Saccharomyces cerevisiae S288C: one gene and its partners. Changing the gene in region 3 together with the main gene of any one other region gives a genetic interaction. Each region holds a gene or a part of one and is shown on either strand. Other genes may lie near its edges. The genes, in order: RXT2, GLN3, URE2 and URM1.

Region 1 (3,391 bases), on a different chromosome or scaffold from region 3:
ATTCTTCTGTTTTGGAGTTTGACTCCATAGAGGAAATTCCAAATGAGAGAAAGTCCAATATTAAGGAGCAAATCCATAGCATAACGAACGACGTTTTCTTAGCTGCTGTAAATGTAAATAGATTAAACTTCCAACCGTTACCAAACGCATTTGAAACATATGGCGTAGACTTTTTGATTGATTCGAATTACGAAGTTAAATTACTAGAGATCAACGCTTTCCCAGACTTCAAACAAACTGGGAAAGATTTGAAGAACCTCATTGATGAATTATTTGATGACACTGTCAAATACTGTGTTACCCCCATCTTTAACGAGAATAGAAATAAGACAGATGATGAAACAGACCCGAACTTCGTAAAAGTCATTGATTACACTTCAAACGGTTGGTGAAACAAAAAAAAAAAAAGAACCCATCCTAAAATACTGTTATTATTACTAAATAGTGCTAAATAATACATATGCCTTGATTTTATTTCCGAAATTTTTTGTTTTGTCAATTTAGGCTCTATTAGCTTCTTCATCAGGTTCATTATCGTCTACAACACCGTCTTCCATGGTATTTTCAATTTCTTCCTCAAAATTTGTTGTCTTATTTGTTGTAGCACTGATCAGACCTCTCTTCACAACACGTAGAGCCACCGGGATAGTAATATCATCGTCAGATATACCCAAATATTCCCGACTCCAATTTAAAATCCTACCTCTTATTCTATTGGCTTTTATTACAGACTTTCTGATTTTTTGTAAGTTTCTTATGAATTCTTTATTCCTCTGTAGTGCAATCTGCGACAGCTGTCGGGCAGACTCAATTTCCTCATTTAACTGTTGTTGTTCGGCCGCTGTTAATGTTGATATAGAAGCAGAACCGGAAGAAGATGGCAGCAACGATAACAGCGCATTAGATTGTTCCAACCTTGGCAATGCAAAAAAAGGATCTTCCTCTCCAAATTCTTCCATGCCATTATTGATATGACCAGCTTCAGTAGACAAACTATTCGAGTTAACCTCGTTGATATTGTTTTTGTTGTTAATGTCATCCTCGTCGCTTGCCCCTCTATCCTCTGGAAGGGTCAAATTGTGATTATAAGATGGTAGGTTCAAGTTAGATTCATAAATTGGTTCAGGATGATCTCCTAAAAAAACCTCCAAAAACTGGGAATATCTAACAACTGACATCTGTTCTTTTTCAATCATTAGAATTATTTGCAAGGCTAAATTTTTCAAAATTGGGCTTGAAAATGTCCTTGAGATAGTTTTATGATTTATTATATCCCCTAGGGAAAGAATGGGAGTCAAAATCTCCTTTACATTCACTAGTTTTGATAGGTCGTCATCGTCTTCTTCGCCGTAATACTCATCAGTGATATTTTCGTCTTCCTTCTCACTACCATCGATGTCGTTTTCATCACCGACTAAAACAGGCTCGACGTTGATGTCAGGTGTGAATTTTATTCTTTTGCGTCTACTATCAGTGACAATATTTGTTTGCAGAAGGCGATGCTCCGAACCGTTATAGAACACAGTTTGCTCAATCATTGGCTTAGAATTGTTCAAGTCTCTTCTTGTTACTACTTCGCTTCTCTGCAAAAGTTTGTTACCTCTGTTAGAGGATATGCCAGTGGCCTCAGGATAGATTAGTTTTCCATCAAGGGATCTTTTCAGTACCTGATAGTTACCGCTTTTTTCCTTTATTATCCTTCTAGTAAATGTGCTAATTATATTCGATTCATTAGCTAACACACTCTTGCTTTCCAATTCTGCGTTGTTTTTCATACTGCTCCTAATAGTCATCTCGATCAACAAGAAGCAACAGCTGAGATATTTGTTTCTCAACCTCTTTTTTGCAGGAGATGCTGTCATCAAGCAACGTTTCTTCTATTTGAAAGCGATTGTTTTACCAGAACAAAGTTCGCTACCCGGCTTCGGTCCTCTTGGGTATAGGAGACAATAATGATCTTCGAATAACGCCGTTATAAAGTGAACATTATAATTATCCGCTTAAAGGCTTTTTAGTAATTTTGTAAAACAATTGCTTCTAATTTCAAGACTTCCAAAAGGTTTCTCGAGTAACTAGTGCTTTCCAATATCTACAACAAAATAAAATAATAGAATAATGGGTGTTTGCACTATTTTTAGGTGGCTCTTTGCTGCTTACTTGCTCTCTTCATATAAGTCGCTTCCTGGGGCATATTTTGTTAGGTTTTATTATTATGTTATTCAAAACTTGTTCTTGCCTATGTTTACAGGGTTTGAAACCGAGAATATTAAGAAACTTGAGAAAAATGAATATGGCTGTTTCTCGTACACCAGCCTAGATACCTATGCCTCTCCATTCGAATGTGACTTCTACTTTCATAAGAGCAATAGCACCTATTTTGCGGAATTGGACATTTCAAGAGGTAATCTCATGTGCAAGATTTTTCAAAAATTGATGCTGAATTCCAAGCATTATCCATATATTCCAGTTGCGAACGTTTTCACTAATTTCTTGAAGGAAATCAAGCCTTTTCAAAAGTACTCGGTTTCATCAAGGATTATCTGTTGGGATGAGAAATGGATTTACGTCATGAGTAGATTCACAATTAAAAAGGGCACCGTCTTATGCTCATTATCATTGACCAAATACGTCCTTAAGGACGGTAGAAAGACCATCAAACCAAAGGATGCTCTTGAATACTGTGGTTTATATAATGAGAAGGTCGCCAAAATTTCTGAGGACAATCTAAAGCTTTTAACCGAGCGTTGTGGTTTCCACGAGACAGTACCATTGGAAAACTTGAGCCAAGAGTACTGTTCAGAAATCTAACTTCTATACACATATAGCCGGTATTATAAAATATATAAATCTATCTTCTTTCAAAAGTTTCTCTGTGCAGTCTGCGTTATATTTTATCTTCGGTAGAAAACAAGGTAAATTTCCCTTATTTTTCAACATCATAAAAATGAAAAACAGATATATCTTAAGTAAGATACTTAAGCAGACAAGTTGAATTGGAGAAATACAAAAGCTGTAAGGTTATCAAAAAGGAAGGCATACAGTATAATGGGGGCACAATTATCACTAGTGGTCCAAGCATCACCTTCCATAGCCATTTTTTCATATATCGATGTCTTAGAGGAAGTACACTACGTTTCACAGTTAAACTCATCAAGATTCTTAAAAACATGCAAGGCACTGGACCCTAACGGCGAAATTGTTATCAAAGTGTTTATTAAACCAAAAGACCAATATAGCTTACGACCTTTTCTCCAACGTATAAGGGCTCAATCGTTTAAGTTGGGACAACTACCGCACGTTTTAAACTACAGTAAATTGATCGAGACAAATAGAGCCGGCTACATGATACGGCAGCACTTAAAAAATAATTTATATGACAGATTGAGTTTGA
Region 2 (4,523 bases), on a different chromosome or scaffold from region 3:
GCGTCAATCGCGATTCTTGGAGCTCTTTTTTGCGATTTATTAAAGTCTATGACAAACTTTCTCAACGGAATTCTGGAATCTTGCAGATATGGCTTCAAAAATTCCCATATTTGTGAGACACCCATTTTCTTGTGCAGTATCCAGAATATACAAGTAGGTAAAATGCAATAGAACTGTCATTTCATTGGATGGACCATATACATTATTGTTTATGTGTCAGTCAAAAGCTAGTTAAATTATTCAACTGTGGGCATTATAAGAAAAAGAAAATGCCATTAAAAAAGGGCCGTTTAAAAAAAAAAAAGAAAGAGATAGACAAAAGAAACAGGGGAGATAGAGAAAGAATACCAAATAATAATTAGAGTGATATTACAAATTCCTAATAATATATGTCTACACATAAAAGTAATACAAATAGAACAGCCAGTGTTCAATGCCAATATACTACCATTTCTTTTTTTACAAGTAATTTGATCTGAAAATAGCAAAACAAATAATACCAATGCTCAGGATTGTGGTCAGAGGTAATGAAAATCTATCAATGCAACCGTTCAGTAATTATTAACATAATAAGAATAATGATAATGATAATACGCGGTCATATACCAAATTTTAACCAATCCAATTCGTCAGCAATTGCTGAACTTTCTTTAGAAGATCCTTTTGTGGAATTATCCTCACTGATCTTTCCGCCTGCACTCACATCTGCTTCATATTTTATAGGTGAAGTAGAGTCACTTGATAATCTATTGTTAAATTTGTGATTTGAGATAAACGAATTCGACTCCGAGTTCTGCAATTGTTGTGATAACAATGAGGTATGTGATTTTCTTGAAGAAGGTCTTGAGACACTCGGTGAATCTACAGGAGTATTAAAAATATCAAAATTTGGCTTTTGAGAGACAAAATTTGATGATCTTGAATTTGTTGAAACGCTATTGCTTGAATTCCAATTCTGTCTATTCGAATTCGTGTTTGTGTTGGAATTCACGTCCACTTGTTGCTGTTCGTGCAGTTGTTGCAAAGACGCAGCCATAAACGATGAGGAGTACGATGCATTGCGCGACATCTTTCTTCTTGGTATATTCATTCCTTGACGTTGGAAAGAATTTGATAATAGATTCTGCTGTAGAGGACTATTTGAGTTAAAGTTTGCGGACGATATAATTCTTGGTGAGGATGCGACACTATTTCCTGCACTTACATTATTTGTTGTGTTCATTAGGTTCATGTTCATGTTGAACTGCTGTGAATTAGCGCTATTAGGTGAAGGTTTTGGTAATATCGGAACAACAGATCTGGATGAAGATTTACTGGAACTTGAGGTGTTCGATGAAGTACTACTTCGTCTTGAAGACCTTCTAAAATTAGGAGTAACAGTGTTCGAATTGTGACGCATTAAGTTATTAGAATTCAAATTTGCATTGCTTGCTCCATTAAAATTTGCGTTACTACTATTATACGATTGGCTGTTCATGAGGACCGGGGAGGGGACTGAGTTGAAGTTATAGCCTCCCCTATTTACATTAAGGATATTATTAGTATTACCGATGTTGTCTCTAATGATTTCTTCAGGTATCACTCTAGATAAAGAGTTTTGTTGTAGTGATTTTTTCCTCGATCGTATGGGTTTAGCATTTGTAGTGGTTACTGAAGTTGAGGCAGTTGCAGGTGCACTTGGAGTATTTTGTGCAATGTTTGGGTCCGTTTGTTTGGCTCTCTTCTTTGAAATCCTCTTTTTGATAACGTCCGATTTTAAGGATAATGGCCTCATGGTACCATGTAATTTCTGGAAAAGACCGCAGGCATTGCAAAGAGTATTCCCCTCTGGGCTTCTCCTCCAAAGCGGTGTCTTGAAAGTTTTACAATTGAAACATTGTATCAGAGGTTTTTTATTTTGTCCTGATGGTTCCATATTGGATATACTGGAAGATACTGAGGCAGCTCTTTTGAAATTGGCCAGGGACGTGGACGACATTGGCTTGATAAGTGAGTTTTTTCTTACAGAATTTGTTGTGTTGGATGAAGATAATCCTATCGAATCGCTCTTCTTCAGAAAAGGATGCTGGATATTACTATTGTTGCTATTATTATTATTGGTAATGTTCATAGCGGATGAAGATGAGTTGTTGTTTTGTAGTTTGTAGATGTTGAAGGAATGGTGGGACTGCGCATTAGTATTTGAGTTGTTATTGATAGATGGCTGGTTGATGTTGCTGTTGGACGTGCTGGAATTATACGGGAACAGTGAGGATTTGGAGACGCTGTTGCCGAGGGAACCGTGGTTGTATTGCGGTATGTCGGAAGTAAAGCTGTTAGGAGCACTAATAGTAGCTGAACCGCTCGAGTTGCTGGGCGTCATGTTGAATTGGTCCACGTTAAAGTCCCAAAGTTGTGCAATTTCACCATTTTGTTGGTTGGATGCGGCTATGTCGATGGGCTGAGTTGTGGCAAGTGAATCAAACATCGCAATATCATCATCCATATGATTGGTAGCTGGTGTGGTGTCCTTGACCGTCTTAGTAGTCACGCTGGTCGTGGCAGCTGCTGTAAAAGGAGACACGAAGTCCGTAAAATATAAATCATCGGGCAGTGCCTCCAGCATTGAGTCGAATGTGCCGCCGTTTAATCCACTGGCAAATGCTATATCCTCCTCGTTTTCACCGGTGTTGCCACTACTCTGGCTCCTACTGTCACCAGTTTGTCTCGGCTCTTCATTACTTCGACCATGCACGTCCAGATGACTATTCAGCAGGTCGTACAGCTTCGAATTTTCGGGGTCGTCTTGCATTTGTTTGTTGGTGGGGGAAAAGGGGGCCCTGTGCTCTCTCTCGTCTCTCTTTCTTACACACTCTGTTATTGTGGGATGGGCTACTGCGCTGACATTAGCTTACCACTCTTGAACATCTTTCTCTGTCTTGCAAGATGACTCTTTCCACTCTCTCAGCATTGCCATGTCACTTTCTTTCGGGAACCTGTCCGCCGGGTAATAGAGCAAAAAATGTGAATATATCATATTAAGAATGTTTAAAGGGCCAGGTAGAGATAGAGTACAAGAATGGAAGGTTGAAAAGCTGTAAAGAGATCAAGAAGGTGTGGTAATTATGAGCAAGCATAAGCATGAATGGACGGAATCAGTGGCCAACTCTGGGCCGGCTTCAATCTTATCTTACTGCGCGTCCTCGATTTTGATGACAGTAACGAACAAATTCGTGGTTAACCTGGACAACTTTAACATGAACTTTGTGATGTTGTTTGTACAATCACTGGTGTGCACTGTGACGCTATGTATCCTACGAATTGTAGGCGTTGCTAATTTTTGATCTTTGAACAGGACAGATGTAAAAAACTGGTTTCCAATTTCTTTGCTGCTCGTATTGATGATTTATACGTCGTCAAAGAGCTTACAATACCTTGCCGTGCCCATCTACACAATTTTCAAGAATCTGACGATCATTCTCATTGCTTATGGCGAGGTCCTCTTCTTTGGCGGAAAAGTCACTTCTATGGAGTTGACGTCATTTATTATGATGGTCCTTTCATCTGTAGTGGCCACCTGGGGCGATCAGCAGGCCATTGCAATCAAAGCATCATCTTTGGAGGATCTCGATCAGGAACTTGTTGAGTCAACCATCTTTGTGTTGAATCCGGGGTACCTCTGGATGTTCACCAATTGTATTTCGTCTGCATTGTTCGTTTTGATTATGCGGAAGAGAATTCGGCTGACTAACTTTAAAGACTATGATACTATGTTTTATAACAACGTTCTGGCATTGCCTTTGCTGCTAGTCTTTTCCTTCATTATGGAAGATTGGTCCACAAAGAATTTGTCTGTGAACTTGTCCGCCGACTCACTGGCAGCAATGGTCATCAGTGGGCTCATGTCCGTGGGGATATCGTACTGTTCCGGCTGGTGTGTTCGTGTAACTTCCTCTACAACGTATTCTATGGTTGGTGCTTTGAACAAATTGCCCATAGCGTTGGCGGGATTGGTGTTCTTTGACGCTCCAAAAAACTTTTTGTCCTTCTTTTCTATCTTTCTAGGATTTCTGTCTGGCCTGCTGTACGCTGTGGCTAAACAGAAAAAGATACAACAGCAAAAAGTTCTAGCAGCTACTCTTGAGAAGTAGTACATTCTTCATTTGCTCAAGCAAAATATACATTTATATTCATTTATATGGGGTCTTCTTTGTATTTGTTTTAGGTTATTCCTTTTTTTATGTTACATATTATGTCAGCATCGTTTTATGAAATATATTCATATATAATTTTTCAAGTAAATAGCAATAAAGTGATAAAATTTTGTTAGACGCACAAAAGGGCAGTGTCACAAATGGGAAGCGTGAACTCATCACCGAATGAAGAGTTTGAAACTGTGCCAGATTCACAAATTTCAGGGTTTGATTCTCCTTTGATACCGACTAGTGTGGGAAGTTACTTTCGCGATGACGATGACGATGAGAAGGTGCATCCCAACTTTATTAGTGATCCTGAGAACGACAGTTTGAATAGCGACGAAGAGT
Region 3 (3,491 bases):
GAGATTTTAAGTGGTAAGCGACTGGGGAAATTTTCCGAGTATCAAGATGATGTATTCGAACAGGATATTAATAGTATTGGCTATTTGAAAGCCTGCGATAACTTTATTAACAAGACGGATAAACTTTTATATCCTTTATTTGGATATTCGCCAACGGATTATGAATATTTGAAACATTTCTATAAGACTTGGTCAGCGTTCAATACCTTGAAAAGTTTTAGCTGGAAAGACGAGTACATGTACTCTAAAAACTATGACAGAAGAACCAAGAGGGAAGTTAATAGAAGAAATGAGAAGGCTAGGCAACAAGCTCGAAATGAATACAACAAAACCGTGAAAAGGTTTGTAGTTTTCATAAAAAAGCTCGATAAAAGAATGAAAGAAGGTGCAAAAATTGCAGAAGAACAGCGTAAACTAAAAGAACAACAGAGGAAAAATGAGTTAAATAACAGAAGAAAGTTTGGGAACGACAACAATGACGAAGAAAAATTTCATTTACAAAGCTGGCAAACGGTAAAAGAAGAAAACTGGGATGAACTGGAAAAGGTATATGATAATTTTGGAGAATTCGAAAATTCTAAGAATGATAAGGAAGGTGAAGTATTGATTTACGAGTGTTTTATCTGCAACAAGACATTTAAGTCGGAAAAGCAATTGAAAAACCACATAAACACTAAACTGCATAAGAAAAATATGGAAGAGATACGGAAAGAAATGGAAGAGGAAAACATAACGCTTGGGTTGGATAATCTCTCCGATCTCGAGAAATTTGATTCAGCAGATGAAAGTGTTAAAGAAAAAGAAGATATTGATCTGCAAGCATTGCAAGCTGAACTCGCTGAAATTGAAAGAAAACTGGCAGAATCGTCTTCTGAAGACGAAAGTGAAGATGACAATCTCAACATAGAAATGGATATAGAGGTAGAAGACGTCAGTTCGGATGAAAATGTACATGTGAATACGAAGAATAAAAAGAAAAGAAAAAAGAAAAAAAAAGCAAAGGTTGACACAGAAACAGAGGAATCTGAATCGTTCGATGATACTAAAGACAAACGGAGTAATGAGTTGGATGATCTTTTGGCATCACTAGGAGACAAGGGCTTACAAACGGATGACGATGAAGATTGGTCTACTAAAGCGAAAAAGAAAAAGGGCAAACAACCTAAAAAGAATTCTAAATCCACAAAAAGCACTCCGTCCTTGTCGACTCTACCGTCCTCTATGTCTCCAACCTCCGCGATCGAGGTGTGCACTACATGCGGAGAATCATTTGATAGTCGAAATAAGCTATTCAACCACGTGAAGATAGCAGGGCATGCGGCAGTGAAAAACGTAGTGAAAAGAAAGAAAGTCAAGACCAAAAGAATATAGTGACACCAAACCATAGAACGCCGAAACAGAAATTATTAGTAGAGCTGTGTAGAGTTTAATTTAACTGTAGTCAATGTGGAAAATGAATACCGACTGTTGTCTGGAATAACAACATTAATCCGGGTGACGCAGCCTGGAATTTTTTTTTCAATTCTCGCCGAATAGGAGGATTGATGAGCTGCCACTATTGAATTTTTGAGGAAGAGTGGCTTCAGCATGTAGTTTTCCTTTCTACTAGGCCAGAAAAGCAACTATACAAAGACGAAAGCTTCCTTACTCGAGGTTGAAAAGAATAGCAAAAATCTTTCCTTTTCAAACAGCTCATTTGGAATTGTTTATAGCACTGAATTGAATCGAAGAGGAATAAAGATCCCCCGTACGAACTTCTTTATTTTTAGTTTTTCATTTTTTGTTATTAGTCATATTGTTTTAAGCTGCAAATTAAGTTGTACACCAAATGATGAATAACAACGGCAACCAAGTGTCGAATCTCTCCAATGCGCTCCGTCAAGTAAACATAGGAAACAGGAACAGTAATACAACCACCGATCAAAGTAATATAAATTTTGAATTTTCAACAGGTGTAAATAATAATAATAATAACAATAGCAGTAGTAATAACAATAATGTTCAAAACAATAACAGCGGCCGCAATGGTAGCCAAAATAATGATAACGAGAATAATATCAAGAATACCTTAGAACAACATCGACAACAACAACAGGCATTTTCGGATATGAGTCACGTGGAGTATTCCAGAATTACAAAATTTTTTCAAGAACAACCACTGGAGGGATATACCCTTTTCTCTCACAGGTCTGCGCCTAATGGATTCAAAGTTGCTATAGTACTAAGTGAACTTGGATTTCATTATAACACAATCTTCCTAGATTTCAATCTTGGCGAACATAGGGCCCCCGAATTTGTGTCTGTGAACCCTAATGCAAGAGTTCCAGCTTTAATCGATCATGGTATGGACAACTTGTCTATTTGGGAATCAGGGGCGATTTTATTACATTTGGTAAATAAATATTACAAAGAGACTGGTAATCCATTACTCTGGTCCGATGATTTAGCTGACCAATCACAAATCAACGCATGGTTGTTCTTCCAAACGTCAGGGCATGCGCCAATGATTGGACAAGCTTTACATTTCAGATACTTCCATTCACAAAAGATAGCAAGTGCTGTAGAAAGATATACGGATGAGGTTAGAAGAGTTTACGGTGTAGTGGAGATGGCCTTGGCTGAACGTAGAGAAGCGCTGGTGATGGAATTAGACACGGAAAATGCGGCTGCATACTCAGCTGGTACAACACCAATGTCACAAAGTCGTTTCTTTGATTATCCCGTATGGCTTGTAGGAGATAAATTAACTATAGCAGATTTGGCCTTTGTCCCATGGAATAATGTCGTGGATAGAATTGGCATTAATATCAAAATTGAATTTCCAGAAGTTTACAAATGGACGAAGCATATGATGAGAAGACCCGCGGTCATCAAGGCATTGCGTGGTGAATGAAGGCTGCTTTAAAAACAAGAAAGAAAGAAGAAGGAGGAAAAGAAGGTTATAAGGGTATGTATATAGGCAGACAAAAAGGAAAATTAAGTGCAAATATAAACAAAAATGTCATAGAAGTATATAATAGTTTTGAAATTTCTGTTGCTTCTATTTATTCTTTGTTACCCCAACCACAGAATTCCAAAATTTTGTTTTATGTAATAATTGAAATACTATAAATTTCTCAACTATATTCGGGGTGTTGTCACTGTATATCTGGCGCTTTCAATAAAGCTGGTACAATTGCGTATTTTTCTCGGCATTTGCCACGATGGGCTTAAGAAAGATCACAATAGAAAATTTCAAATATTTAATATTTGCGAAGAAGGGATTTGTTCAGTTATGACGATTAGATACATATGTAACTTACATGCAAACGGTTTTTGTTCATGGAAATACGTTCTAGTGAATGTATAAATCGATTGATGTCGAGATATGAAAAGTTTACAAACACTATGTGAAATCTCATTGATGAGAAATCATTCAAACATACAATCTGTGAGTAATGTCCCCTATCACTTATTAAAGAGGATACTGCAGAAAGTAAAAATACCACAAC
Region 4 (2,592 bases), on a different chromosome or scaffold from region 3:
TGTATTGCAAGTCACTATGATCAGAAAGAATGTTAATATGCTGAAGAATGATTTAAATCACCTTTTGCAAAGATCACACGTCTTACTAAACCAGCACTTTGATAATATGAACGTTAAGTCAAACCAAGATGCAAGAAGGAATAACGACGATCAAGCTATTCAGTATACCATCCCTTTTGCATTTATCAGTGAGGTAGTACCCGGTAGCCCTTCAGATAAAGCAGACATAAAGGTTGATGATAAGCTGATTTCTATTGGTAATGTGCATGCGGCAAACCACTCTAAACTTCAAAACATTCAGATGGTTGTAATGAAAAATGAAGACAGGCCACTTCCCGTCCTTCTCTTGAGAGAAGGGCAAATCCTAAAGACATCGCTAACACCTTCGAGAAACTGGAATGGTAGAGGTCTTTTGGGTTGTAGGATACAAGAGCTATAATCTTCGTCATGTACTAAAAAAAACCAATCCAGTTATTACTATTACTTTTTATACTATCTGCATATTACCTACGTTATCTAACTTGTGATTCATTCAAGCTGTACAGCACTTTATATATATATATGTAGCTGCTTCTTAAAAATTATTTGCTGCTATTTTTAACCACCATGTAATGTTGAAGTAAAAGAGATGATGTCACCGTCTTCCAATATGTAGTCTTTTTCGCCTTCGAGCTCCCAATCGGTGTCGTTGATTAATGTGATGATACCGGGTCTTATAGAATCATCTTCGATGAAGATACTAACGTCATTAGGGTTATTGATCATAGTAGATACAATGTGGTCAATCAAATCGCCCACTGTGACAGGATCTTCTTTGTCCATCTTAATTTTATGTACTCTTTGTTTTCCAAAAATAGCATCAAGTCCACCTAGAAACTCCACTTTCACGTTTACCATCCCGATTTTGCTATTAACCTATCTCGTTTTAGTATCAGAAATCAGTATTGTTTTCTGCTTTGGGAATTTTTGAGCTCTCCATACCGTCTGCCAGTAGTATTTCATTAGGTCGATGCGATGCCATTACTTTGTCGTTATATTTTTTCTGCCGAAGTGGGCGACAATGTAATTAAAAAAAAAAGTCTAAATAAGATTGAGAACTTGGGAAGGAACATAATCCGGTATGTGAAATCAATTGAATCTATCCTCTGTCTCGGTATAATATTATACAAGTTAGGAGAATAGTTATATATAAATATATGTGAACTTGTAGAACTGATGGCATTTGATGGCCGTCACATGGTACGCCACTAAAACCTTGATTAAGTAGATTAGATTAGACTAGCAAGTGTTGGTAACGTTTTGTAGGAAAGAGTCTCAAAGTACCCAGCGCCAACTTTTGCTAAAGTCAATCATAAAATATATGTTTTTAAAATATGTAGGTATGCCGTGCATTTTTATTCTTTTTTAATGTTTAGCTTTCAAAAAAGCTAAAATAAACCATAAGCGTTATTCTTATTATATTGATAGTAGAAGAGGAAGAGTGGTTATCTTTACTCAAATTAACGATTGCTTTTATTTCTTACATTAAGGTCGAAACTATTTGCTACTATGAAAGCCAAGCAGAAACAAACAAGACCTTATTAAGATTGATGTTTCAAGCTATGCATTCCCAATTCAGAAGAACAAGGGAAGAGCATAAGACGGCTATCTGCATTTAACAGTAGTGGTCACTCCTACAGTAGTCATACTTCTCAAGCCTACTTTCGGTATGGCTTTTAAAGTCATAAAATAACGAATAGTTCGTATACCGCTCATGTGGCAAACTCAATAGCAAAATGTGATTTCATATCACGAAGTTTTTTATATTTTTTAATTATACAATTGTAATTTGTATTACGGAAATGAAACATGTTTGTATGTTATGTAGTATATCAATAATTGATTTACCGCATCTGTAAAAGAGAACCATTTATCACGCACATAGTTTTAGTATTCACTAATCGGTGCTCTATGGAAGTACGAGACACCGTGCATAGATGGAAGGGGAAGGTAATAAGCTTCTCTCTAAGAATTTTCTTTGTAAACCCTTTCGACTTCTGATTTAACAGCGGCTAAGATTTCTCTTCTCTTTAATTTTTGAGCAGATGTGACAAAGCCATTTTCAGGTGTCCATTCTTCATCAAAGAAAACAATACCACATAATAGTTCAATACCAACCAAACCTTGAGATTTGGCTGTTGCGATCATCTCTTTGAAAACAGCATTTCGTAATGCTTTGTCATGGATATAGTTTTCGATGTCTTCACCCTTTTTCATAATACGCAATTTGACAGCAAATTTAGATAGGGGTCCTGGGTTGGGTACCACAATACCCACCGGTTTAACCCTACTTTCATCGGCATAAACACAGATATTTTTCACATAGGAGTTTGACCTGTAAACAGATTCTAACTTTTCTAATGCAATATATTCACCATTTAGGGTTTTAACCAAATTCTTTCTTCTATCAATAATTTTAAGTTGTCCCTTGGGAGTCCATTCAACAATATCACCAGTACGAAACCATCCATCGTAAGTGAAAGAGACCGCCGTTTCTATTGGATTCTTATAATATTCAGAACAGACCGGCGCACCCTTTAGAAGCAATTCACC

Evidence for each region.
Region 1: mutations in URE2 (region 3) and RXT2 together harm fitness more than expected from each alone (negative genetic interaction), as found in Saccharomyces cerevisiae (4 studies listed by BioGRID, with this or other methods).
Region 2: of URE2 (region 3) and GLN3, a mutation in one rescues a mutant of the other (synthetic rescue), as found in Saccharomyces cerevisiae (5 studies listed by BioGRID, with this or other methods).
Region 4: of URE2 (region 3) and URM1, changing one enhances a phenotype caused by changing the other (phenotypic enhancement), as found in Saccharomyces cerevisiae (5 studies listed by BioGRID, with this or other methods).

What each region holds. Positions count from the first base shown.
Region 1 is NC_001134.8:433,906-437,296, forward strand, and holds RXT2 (Rxt2p), read right to left. Parts: upstream 1,794-3,391; coding exon 501-1,793; downstream 1-500. Other genes in the region: PBY1 (putative tubulin tyrosine ligase), read left to right, coding at 1-392; YBR096W (uncharacterized protein), read left to right, coding at 2,116-2,808; ubiquitin-binding serine/threonine protein kinase VPS15, read left to right, coding at 3,046-3,391. UniProt on the Saccharomyces cerevisiae protein: Component of the RPD3C(L) histone deacetylase complex (HDAC) responsible for the deacetylation of lysine residues on the N-terminal part of the core histones (H2A, H2B, H3 and H4).
Region 2 is NC_001137.3:228,063-232,585, reverse strand, and holds GLN3 (nitrogen-responsive transcriptional regulator GLN3), read right to left. Parts: upstream 2,792-4,523; coding exon 599-2,791; downstream 1-598. Other genes in the region: YEN1 (crossover junction endodeoxyribonuclease), read right to left, coding at 1-125; YER039C-A (uncharacterized protein), read left to right, coding at 3,105-3,323; HVG1 (putative GDP-mannose transporter), read left to right, coding at 3,381-4,130; FMP49 (Fmp49p), read right to left, coding at 3,755-4,135; Smc5-Smc6 complex subunit KRE29, read left to right, coding at 4,334-4,523. UniProt on the Saccharomyces cerevisiae protein: Positive nitrogen regulatory protein. Required for the activation of transcription of a number of genes (including the allantoin pathway genes) in response to the replacement of glutamine by glutamate as source of nitrogen.
Region 3 is NC_001146.8:218,539-222,029, reverse strand, and holds URE2 (glutathione peroxidase), read left to right. Parts: upstream 1-1,828; coding exon 1,829-2,893; downstream 2,894-3,491. Other genes in the region: JJJ1 (Jjj1p), read left to right, coding at 1-1,371; ELA1 (elongin A), read left to right, coding at 3,368-3,491. UniProt on the Saccharomyces cerevisiae protein: Plays an important role in nitrogen catabolite repression. Down-regulates the expression of many genes involved in nitrogen utilization by inhibiting the GATA transcriptional activators GLN3 and GAT1.
Region 4 is NC_001141.2:340,841-343,432, reverse strand, and holds URM1 (ubiquitin-related modifier URM1), read right to left. Parts: upstream 898-2,592; coding exon 598-897; downstream 1-597. Other genes in the region: NAS2 (Nas2p), read left to right, coding at 1-439; long-chain fatty acid-CoA ligase FAA3, read right to left, coding at 2,005-2,592.